2 linked regions of the Drosophila melanogaster genome follow. The main gene of each other region encodes a partner of the protein of the gene in region 2 in a complex. Each region holds a gene or a part of one and is shown on either strand. Other genes may lie near its edges.

Region 1 (5,669 bases), on a different chromosome or scaffold from region 2:
CTTTGGCTCACAGTTCTGAATTAGCTGCATAATGCCTGCAATACAGAAAATTAATTAGTATCAGCATAAAAGTGCTAAGCTTGTAGCCACCTTTGGCATCTGCATGGGCCGAGAAGCTCATGTACTCCACGGCCATTTTGACCTCGACCACCTGGCGGTTCTCGAACTCCACCTTCTTGGCGCCACCGAGAATCTTGTTGCCCACGGTTCCCTGCACACAGTAGCCGGGCATAATCACCATGTTGTTCTCATTCGGCGCCCACTTCTTGAAGATCTGCAGGGAAAGACCTGCGTGCAGCATGCCTGGCGTGGCGAACACTACCATCGCGCCAGGATTGTCGATGTAGGCCTTGTCAAAGGGCTTGATGTGCTTGAAGTCGAACATGTTGCGGTGAACGAAGGTCTTGCGGATCTTCTGGTTCGTCCAGGTGATGAACATTTTGTAGTAGGTATTGGCCTTCTCGGTAAGACCCAGAGCAAAGTATATGGGGTACTTGAGGTTCATGCGCTCCCAGTACGTCTCCAGCAGGATGCACAGCTCCTGGGCGCGACCCAGGGCAAAAACAGGGATTAAAACCTTGCCGCCCTTAGCCACGCACTCGTGAACTTTCTTGAGGAAGTCCCTCTCGCGACACCGCTTCGAGTCCCTAATGGTAGTGGCGTAGGTGCTCTCGGAGATCAGCAAGTCCGGCCGGCACTTGTCTATCCAGGCGGCTCCCAGATGCCTGTCTGGAGTCATGTTGTAGTCCCCCGTGTAGACAACGCTCTGGGAGCCCACCTTGATCCAGAACATGGCGGCGCCCAGGACATGGCCTGCATAGTAGGCTTTGATCTCAAGGTCCGTGTCCACCATCATACTCTGGTGAAGTGTGACGGGAATCACCTTCTTCATGCAGTCCTTGATCATCTGGGTGGTAAAGAAGTTCGACTCGCCTTTCCGCTCTACGGCCACCTTCCGCATGTCCTCCAGGAGGATGGGTGCTATGGCCTTGGTCGGATGCGTCATGTAGATGGGCCCCGTGTAGCCCACAATCTCTGACATGTAGGGCAAGGCCCCGCAGTGATCTGGAATGCATGCAATCGATAAAGAAACGATTAGAGCCAGTTGACCAGATAAGAGCGCCTTTGGGAGGCCGAGACTCACCCAGGTGGAAGTGCGAGATGATCACACAGTCAATGTGGCTGGTGATCGGACCCTCCGGCACTATGTAGGAGAAGTCCGGGAAGCGGCGCTCGTCGTTGTAGCCCATATGCATCCCGCAGTCGAGCATTATGTTCTTCCCGCCCATCGAGAGCAGCAGACAGCTGCGGCCCACATCCTGGCCGGCGCCCAAGGGCGTTATCTTGATGTCCGGCATTTCTGGAAGGGATCAGGATCACCCGGCTCCACTCTCCTGCTTTCTTGCGGCCACTTGTTGCGCTGGTAAATGAAATTGTCGAAAAAGTCGACCGTGATTTTTGTAAACAGCAAGGCCGCACGAATGGCGTTGCCACTCCGTCGGTGTGGATGGTCCGGCAACGACGCGCTCCAACTGGCAGATCTTATTGGAGTGTTCCAAGAAGTTTCAAAGAATTTAATAGCTTAATTGAAATTAATGTTTCTGTCTGTATATGTATAGAATACATTAATTATATGTGAATAATACAACTTTAGTACAATAAGTCTTTTGTTCAAACAATATTCAACATCTGCATTTGGGAACACTCGCGCCAATGGTTTGCCGCTCGAGAAACGGTCATACTGAACCGAAAGGAAAATAAAAGATAGCGTCTTGTCTTATCAAATCACTGTTTTGCTTTCTGCGGGCGAACTTGCAACTGCTGCAGGATGCCCGATTCCGTGGAGGACACCTCCACAATCTCGCTGCGGATATGCCTGGAAGGACACGCGAACGCCCTGGCCCTGAATAAGGACAACAACCAGATTGCTTTGGCCGGAAGAAGCTGTAAGATTAGAATTGCCCAAGGTCTTTCTATAAATACACATAATTTGCTTCCGAACAGTGCTTAAGGTGTACTCCATAAACAGCAATGGCTTCACGGAATCGTGTAATATGCGCGGAAAGAACCAGAATCTTAGCTACTCCGCCAACGATGTGGCCTGGTCCACCTTGGATAGCAATCTTTTGGCTACGGCGGCCACGAACGGAGTGGTTTCCGTGTGGGATCTCTCCAAGTTCGGCAGGCAGAAGCAGCTGCTTGTCTACAACGAACATGAGCGCACCGCTCATACCGTGACCTTTCACAGCAGCGAGCCCAACATCCTGATCTCCGGTTCTCAGGATGGCACCATCAAGTGTTTCGACATCCGATCGGATAAGTCAATCAACACCTACTTCTGCAACTCGGAATCAGTGCGGGATGTCAAGTTCAGTCCACACACACAAAACATATTCTCCGCCGTCTCCGAGAATGGAACTGTCCAGTTGTGGGACATGCGGAAGTGGGACAAGTGCATGGTGCAGTTTACGGCGCACTACGGGCCAGTCTACACATGCGACTGGCATCCCACAAGGAATTGGCTGGCCACCGGAAGTCGGGACAAGCAGATCAAGGTGTGGAACATGGATGGCAGGCCGGGATTGGAGCACACCATTCACACAATCGCCGTAGTGGGACGGGTTAAGTGGCGACCAGAAAGAACGTAGGTTTTTCTAGCCAGGTTTAACAGTCTTATTTATATTAAATCTGTTTAATCCTTTCCAGTTATCACATCGCTAGTTGTGCCCTTGTGGTGGACTACAGCGTTCATGTGTGGGACATCCGCAGACCCTACATCCCCTTTGCCTCCTTCAACGAGCACACCAATGTGACTACTGGAATTGCGTGGCAGGGCAGCGACTCGCACTGTCTTCTGTCCATCAGCAAGGACTCCACCATTTACAAACATGCTTTTAAGGATGCCACGAGGCCAGCGCTGAAGGCAAATGCCCAGGGAGCTAGCCTGGGCAGATTTGGGGACATCTCCTTTGCCAACAAGATCAAGGAGTATGAACCCAAGACCAGCGGTGCATCCAATACCAAGTCTTCTAGCTTCATGTATGTCGTATTTGTTGTATCAACTTGTATGTTTATATGTATGTGTATTTTAGAAGTCGCCGTAAGACGAATGTGGCTGGCAGCATTCAGTTCCATTTGGACCATTCCAAAATGTACAAATTCATGGTAAACGACACGGTTAGTATGACACTATTAGGGATTTCTTTGCCAAATCTGATACTAATTGATATATTTCAGTTTTCCGGCTATCCCCTAAGCGAATCTGTTTCAAGACCCACCCAAGAACACGAAAGTTTTATTGGCTGTGCCAGGGAACTTGTTATCAGTGGGAAAAAACTATCGGAGTTATGCGAGCACAATGCAGAGGTTTCCAAGAAATACGGCAAACATAATGTAAGCGCTTGAGATTATTCCCAAAATTTGCCAAAACTTAGCATCTACATTTTTCAGGCCACCACATTGTGGAACTTTATCAAATTGTTCTACGGCAGCAATCACTTTGAGCCTCCCTTCGAGCACCGCTCCTCCTTCTCGAATCAAAAGAATCCAATGAACTCACGACGTGCCACGCAAGTAGCCAGCGATTGGCCACAGCAGCGAACTGAACTAGGCCAGGATCTCAATGGAAACACGCCGGAAACAGCCCACGAAATTGATGTGGCGAATGTGGACGATGATACGCTCGGCAGCAGTGGTGTGGAGCATCCGCCTACGAGCTCAGTGATTCTGTCCGAAACGCAAATCATCAGCGAGATTACCTTTGACAACTTTGAGCTCTTGCGCAATGGGTTTATCTACGTGGGTCCCACAGAATGCCCGAAAGCTTTGGCCTTCCCCGCCCTTCATCACGATGTGCAGGCTGCACGACCACAACTGGATCTCAAGGCGTCCGATCACGAAAAGTCACCTGTTAGTTGAGATTATTGAGAACTCGATGTATTTACAGCTTAACTAACTTATTCATCCTCTTTTTAGCCACCGCATGTTCCCACTGTCCTAAAAGTCAGCCATGTCCCGCCCATACCCATGTGGGAACCGCATAAGTTCGTCTCCGATGCCCTCATGCTAATGAACGATGTGGGCGATGTGCAAACAGCTCTGACAGTCCTTATAGCGCTGGGAGAAGCTCGGAAGCTCCTGCCCATTGACGATGCATTGGTGGTGAGTTCAAAGACAAAGTTGGGATCAGAACGGAGTTATTCATCCGGTTTTCTTCCTTTTCAGGAGCACTGGTTTTACACCTACGTGGACCAGCTGCATCGCTATGAGCTGTGGAACGAGGCCTGCGAGGTTATCAACCGCTCCTGGCTGAGATCGGTGCAGCAGCTCAACCAGCACTCGACCGCCATGCACACGAACTGTGGAGAGTGTGGACGTCCAATGGGCGGCAAGGTGGGATGGTACTGCGACAAGTGCAAGTCCATGCAGTCCGCCAAGTGCTGCGTCTGCGGTCTGATCGTCCGGGGAGTCTACGCCTGGTGCCAAGGATGCTCCCACGGCGGTCACATAGAGCACCTGCAGAAGTACTTTGCCAAACACTCCAAGTGCCCCAAGTGCGGACACCTTTGCGCGTACTCATGAGACGCGGAGGAGGCTGGGTTTGCCCAGCTTTTGCCCCCCATTTGAGAGCCTTGTAAATAGAGAAGACTTAAGCCCAATAAGTACCTTGCACTAGACACTAAACAGATTTTTATATAAATGTAGCTCGAAGATGTAAACTTGTAAAATAAGCTCAACGTTTGTGAAGTAAATTAACAGACAGGTTTAATCGATCTTCTGCAACTTTAAATAGCACAAATGTTTGTTACTTAACTTTTTTTGAAATATTGGAAAATAAAACTGTTGTCTGTTGATGCAAGTAAGTTTATAAACATTCTGGGCTTTTGAAAAAAGTGTCCACTTTATTGAATTTCTTCAATCATTAAAGGTTTTTGAAAGATTCGTATTGGGTTTTAATCGCTATTGTTGATTAGTGTTAATAACAGTTTAACAGTTATGCGAGTGTTTCAATCTTAGGGCTACTTGATGAAGGTGCTCTTAAAAGGTAATATTACAACCACCTTGGAGTTGAGAGGTCGAGCCGCACATTCAGTAGCAGAAAGGGGAGAAAAAATTATAAAATTGAGAGTTCTGTAGGGATTAAAAACAGAGAGCAACATATGTTGCGGTTGTCTTTAACTAAATATCTAATTGTATGTCCTCGCGGGTGGGTGGACAAGCACGTCCGTCCACAAGGACACCACCGCCAGCCAGCGCTGTCCAAAAATCCATCATGCCCTCAGCGCAATGGAATTTTGGCAATGCCTATATGCATTTAATGTTTTCTTAGAATCCAATTTTAGTTTTGTTGCATTGCGCTTCGCGCATTTGTAACTTTGAGATGGGGTGCTCCCACTCAAAGCTTGGACTTTGGAGCAGCGTTGGCGGCTAATTGTCAAGAGGCAAAATCGAGGCTCACAGTTTGGCAGGAGTCGCCCACTGTTCCACTGGAGCCGGCTGAGGTAGCATTCCGCTTGAGCGTTGGCCCCTCATCGTAGCGAATCGTCATGGAGTTGGAGTTTCCGGGAATGGCCACATAGCCCAGCGACTCATAGAACTTGATCAGCTTGTCCTTGCAGTCCAGCGACATTTTGTAGCAGCCCAGTTCCTCGGCCAGCAGCGATACGGTG
Region 2 (5,122 bases):
GCACCGTGCACACGGCCAACATCGGCGACAGCGGCTTCGTTGTGGTGCGCGAAGGCCAGGTGGTTCACAAGTCCGAGGAGCAGCAGCACTATTTTAACACACCCTTCCAACTGTCATTGCCGCCGCCGGGACATGGGCCCAATGTCCTCAGCGACAGCCCTGAGTCGGCGGACACGATGAGCTTTCCGGTGCGGGATGGCGACGTGATTCTCATTGCAACCGACGGAGTGTTCGACAACGTGCCCGAGGATCTAATGCTGCAGGTGCTTAGCGAGGTGGAGGGCGAACGCGATCCCGTCAAGCTCCAGATGACGGCCAACAGCCTGGCGCTGATGGCGCGCACCCTGTCCCTCAACAGCGAGTTCCTCTCGCCCTTCGCCCTCAGCGCCAGGAGGAATAACATTCAGGCGCGTGGCGGCAAGCCGGACGACATCACCGTTGTCCTGGCCACCGTGGCGATGTGAGAGTGGTGCTCCAGCCCATCCTCCCTAGTGATTAACGTTTACTTGTAGTCCGTACGTGTTTAGTTAGCTTTAGGAGCCAGTTTCGTGGTTCTGTCTACCGTTTAAGCTGCATGTTGAGATTGAGATTGTGATTGACGAGGACGACGACCCTTTGACCCTTTGCATTGTTAGTTACATATATACGAGCAAACTCATTTTCGAACCGACGAATCGACTTCGACGCATCCTGGTGAGCGACCCGCGCCTCGATTGTATACATAACCCTCGCTATAAGTAGAGAATGCGAATTATCTGCCCGATCTGGCGATCTCTGTCGTCAGTGGCGTTCTAATCACCACAAACAATAAACAAACAACCGATTGCGAAACAATCCCCGACGCCGAGGATCATAAATACGAGTCCGGGGTCCGGATGATGGAAGCTGGATGGATGGTGGACCCGGAATGGAGCGAGTCGAGTGCAGCTATCTGACTGAGGACGGAGGATTACCCATTTACGCGGGCGAACGAACTGTCTTTAAACAATTTTTGTCGAAATGTACTCACTGATATTTGCGACCCAATAAAATTTATTCAATGAAAAACAACGAATGCAGCTTGTAGTCACTTCGTGATAAATTCATTAAGCAAATAAATATGTGTAAACAATAAAGCTGTACGGAAAACTTAAATAGAACGTTCTAATTGCTTAGATTAACTCATGGTCAGAAAGATGGAAATTGATAGATTCAGGAGCGGACAAACTGATTAGCGTGGGGGTGTTTATTTTTAATGCGATGTAACAATCATTTTCCTCCAGAAGTATAGGTGAAATTACATTTTTAATTAAAAAGGTCTTATCTGAAAGAAATCGATTGCGCTTCTGTGACGCAGACTGACTACATATATAAGCATAAAGCTGCAAAAAATATATGCATTCTACAGATTATTATTATATTCGAATAGGAAAAATACCCAGAACTATTTTTAAAAATTTTATTCGAAAATATTGCGTTATTTCGGTGCAACCTTAATTATTTGTATCTAGAATAAAACGCGCTATGGTGGTGCTATTTTTTACGCAACTGTATATGTGTTAAATCGATAATATAAAAAAACATTTATTTTAATTAGTAAAGTTTTTCGCCAGTTTGTAAAATATGTTAACTTTTGGCTACACTTGTGGGTAAATTAAAAGGCTTCATAGATGCCAAAAAAATTTCAGTCAATAGCAACGCACCAAATCCCCGCTGAATTGGTAGGAGTCTAGTGACGAAAGCATCGGTTGCCCCTAACGTTCGGTAATTCAAATTTTGTGACGAATAATACAAATCACACAATAACATACATAACAGAAAAGCTTACGTAACTGAAATCATTATTTAATTTAATATATATGAAAATAATTAAGCTGACAGGGAATGCAGATTAAGTTAGTTTTTCAATAAAAGATAAAAGTGTTGAGCTACCTTGAAAAATATAAATAAACTGCGTGATTTAATTAATTACAATAACAATTAAAGGTAAACATTAAATTCGGTATATTTGTACAGGAAAATACCAAATAATCCATGCCTGCGGTCACTCTGCAGATAAGGAATCAAAACAAAAGACGAAAAAATAGAATTTTTATTTTACTAGCATGCAAATGGGCAAATGTTGGAATTGAGTAAATAATTGTCCGTTGGTTTTGCAACCACTAAGTCAACATGAAGCTGTACAAGCTGAACACGCATACGCGTGGCTGCAACAAATCCTACGGTAAGCGAAAGTGGATATTGCGCAAACATTACGTTACACGGAAATTTCGGCACAGATGCGGACTTGGTGATGAATCTAAAGGATCATCCCAACGCCAATGTGGGCGATGTGGTAGAAATTTACGCCCCCGACGAGGAGAACGGCACCCACCTGCTGCTCCAAATCACCGAGTTCAATGGCAGCTGTGGCCGGGATGTGATAAGCATAGAATCGGGCATCGCCAATGCCTTCAAAATGCGTCCGTACTCCAATGTGGTGATGCGCATAGTTAAGCCGGCGGATGTGGCCCTGGACTCGATAGAGATTACCTTCAAGGACCAGTACATGGGTCGCTCGGAAATGTGGCGCCTGAAGACCTACCTGGTAAGGAATCACGCAGTTTTCAGACCAGGATATACTTTTAACGTACCACTTCTCCCTCAGACGGACACCTGTGTGTATGTGAACAAGAAGATCGACTACAACGACATGCAGATTCGGTGCCAGGTGTACGAGATGTGGTCGCAAGGCGAGCGCGTGGCCAGCGGTGTCATCACGGAGGACACCAAGATTGTCTTCCGCAGCAGCACTTCGATGGTGTACCTCTTCCTGCAGATGTCCTCCGAGATGTGGGACTTTGACATCCACGGAGACCTGTACTTCGAAAAGGCAGTCAATGGGTTTCTCACTGAGCTCTTTCAAAAGTGGCGAAAATTGAGCTGTAACCACGAGGTGACCATCGTGCTGTTCTCCCGCACCTTCTACGCAGCCAAGAGCCTGGACGAGTTTCCCGAGCATATGCGCGACTGCCTGCAGCAGGACTACAAGGGTCGCTTCTACGAGGACTTTTACCGCGTGGCCATCCAGAATGAGCGCTGTGATGATTGGTGTACCGTTTTGGGCCAGCTCCGAAAGCTATTCACGTCCTACCAGGTCACTTAACCATGTTTTAATTTATTCTATTATAAAAACTTACTACGCCGTTTACAGGCCACTGTGCTGCGCTACCACGAACGGGAGAACATGAAGATTCCACCGGCCACCAATTCTTCAGCCACTCAGGGTAACTTTTTGGAGGTGCTAAACATATCGCTGAACACTTTCGAAAAGCATTACTTGGATAGAACGTTCGACCGCACCGGACAACTATCCGTGGTTATAACCCCAGGAGTGGGTGTCTTTTCCGTGGATCGAGAGCTAACCAATATCACGAAGCAGCGCATTATCGACAATGGCGTGGGTAGCGACCTGGTCTGTGTGGGCGAGCAGCCACTGCATGCGGTTCCGCTTCTCAAATTCCACAACAAAGACACCACGTTGACCTCCGCCGATGACTACTCTCTGCCCCACTGGATAAACTTGAGCTTTTACTCCACTAACAAGAAGATTGTGTACTCCAGTTTCATACCACGGATCAAGCTGCCTCTGTTTGGATCCCAGTTGACGCTCCACGATGGCGTTGGCGACGGGGAGGGCGAGGAGAACGAGCGTCACTTCCTGAGCTGCAATCAGTCGGAGTATAAGCACAACTCGCTCTTTGATTACGATGCGTATGATGAACAGATCTTCCAGCCGCTCCCCGCTCAGAGTACTTGGTAGTATTGTGCTACAAAATTACCTTTTTAGCTTTGTTGATCAAGGTTTTATTTTCTTAGCTCCCTGCAGCGTGTAGTGCGGGCTAAGAAGACATCGGTGCCCAGTTTAGAGACCTATGCCTATAGGAACAACGATTGGGAGAACCTCACGCCGACTCAAATCCCGGCTATGCGGCGCAAGATGTCCGATCCCGATATTCATCACGGCACCTCTGCAATGCTGGCTGCCTTGGTAAGGGAAATCTTAATACTGACTTTTTACCTGACTTTTGAACTGTTTTTATGTGACTTTAGCAACCGGATACAACCAACCTCTCCGAGTCACTGGCCTCGGAGAAGAACTCCCGCAGGACGATCGTTAGCATTGCGCCCATAGTGCGTCCGGGTCGCGCTCTGATCAATCCCTTTGATCCCTCGCAAGTGACAATAAAGCTGACCTCCAATCGCCGCCGCTGGACGCACATATTCCCGAAGGGCCCAACCGGTGTACTCATACAGCAGCATCATTATCAAGCGGTGCCCGCCAAACCCACGCAGGCTGGTCAGCAGAGACCATTGCAGCAGACGCAGAGCAACAACAACAACGACCAGGAGGATTACGGGTGCGAAAATGGAGAGCAGTACGACCGAGTGTCCAGCCATTCGCTGCTCAACAAGTCAGACTCCTCGCAGAGCTTTGTGATGGGTGATGAGCCCATTGATTGTGAGTAGCAGTAACTAAAGTTAAACCTCCTCGACTAGCATTGCTTTGTATACGCAGTCTTTAAGCGGCGTCAAAACTCGCCGATGAACCCCCAGCCCGCCAATGTGCCCAACCTGACGGCCACCCAGGCGAAGTCTTACCTCTGGGGAGCCACTGGGGAGCAAGAGTGGACACCAGCAATTACCACGGGTAAGTGTTAGGCAAACAGTTTTCAGGTTTTGTTTTAGAGATCGTATCGTGGGGCAAATAATTCGAGATGCACTTGAAGTACTCGGCGTACATGGAAATCCCAGTCAGTTTGGCATGGTTCACGAGCGAAAATGTATCTTCAGTTTTTGTTCGCGCTGTTTTTGTCGCGCTACCAAATCGTGGCCACCGAAAACTTTGACCGCGCTTTCGAGCTGGCTCTGTTTCTGGACAGGATCGGCCGCGTGCATCGCTTGCATGCCATCACTATAGTGAACAGCCTGGGATCTGTTGATCCCAGCTATCTGGACGATCTGCATCGCGGCCTGATGTGCAACAGCAGCAATCACTTCTACATGCTGCCGCAGATGACGGCCACGGACAAGGATTCCTCGCACGTCCACTTCAGCAGCCTGCAGGATGAGGAGACCATATATTTGGTCTTCGCCAGGGATT

The links.
Region 1: Iml1 (region 2) and Wdr24 share a complex: the UniProt entries of both Drosophila melanogaster proteins name them as parts of the GATOR complex.

What each region holds. Positions count from the first base shown.
Region 1 is NT_033777.3:29,741,159-29,746,827, reverse strand, and holds Wdr24 (WD repeat domain 24), read left to right. Parts: upstream 1-1,735; 5' UTR 1,736-1,828; coding exon 1,829-1,946; intron 1,947-2,004; coding exon 2,005-2,644; intron 2,645-2,706; coding exon 2,707-3,039; intron 3,040-3,092; coding exon 3,093-3,177; intron 3,178-3,237; coding exon 3,238-3,393; intron 3,394-3,450; coding exon 3,451-3,909; intron 3,910-3,975; coding exon 3,976-4,161; intron 4,162-4,224; coding exon 4,225-4,581; 3' UTR 4,582-4,856; downstream 4,857-5,669. Other genes in the region: IntS11 (integrator 11), read right to left, coding at 1-35, 91-1,065, 1,145-1,358; Gnpnat (Glucosamine-phosphate N-acetyltransferase), read right to left, coding at 5,089-5,130, 5,459-5,669. UniProt on the Drosophila melanogaster protein: An essential component of the GATOR subcomplex GATOR2 which functions as an activator of the amino acid-sensing branch of the mTORC1 signaling pathway.
Region 2 is NT_037436.4:1,530,938-1,536,059, reverse strand, and holds the start of Iml1 (increased minichromosome loss 1), read left to right. Parts: upstream 1-2,025; 5' UTR 2,026-2,151; coding exon 2,152-2,203; intron 2,204-2,258; coding exon 2,259-2,566; intron 2,567-2,626; coding exon 2,627-3,115; intron 3,116-3,172; coding exon 3,173-3,777; intron 3,778-3,837; coding exon 3,838-4,009; intron 4,010-4,071; coding exon 4,072-4,480; intron 4,481-4,537; coding exon 4,538-4,669; intron 4,670-4,800; coding exon of another isoform or gene 4,801-5,122. Other genes in the region: CG12091 (uncharacterized protein), read left to right, coding at 1-464; Ir62a (ionotropic receptor 62a), read left to right, coding at 4,801-5,122. UniProt on the Drosophila melanogaster protein: An essential component of the GATOR subcomplex GATOR1 which functions as an inhibitor of the amino acid-sensing branch of the TORC1 signaling pathway.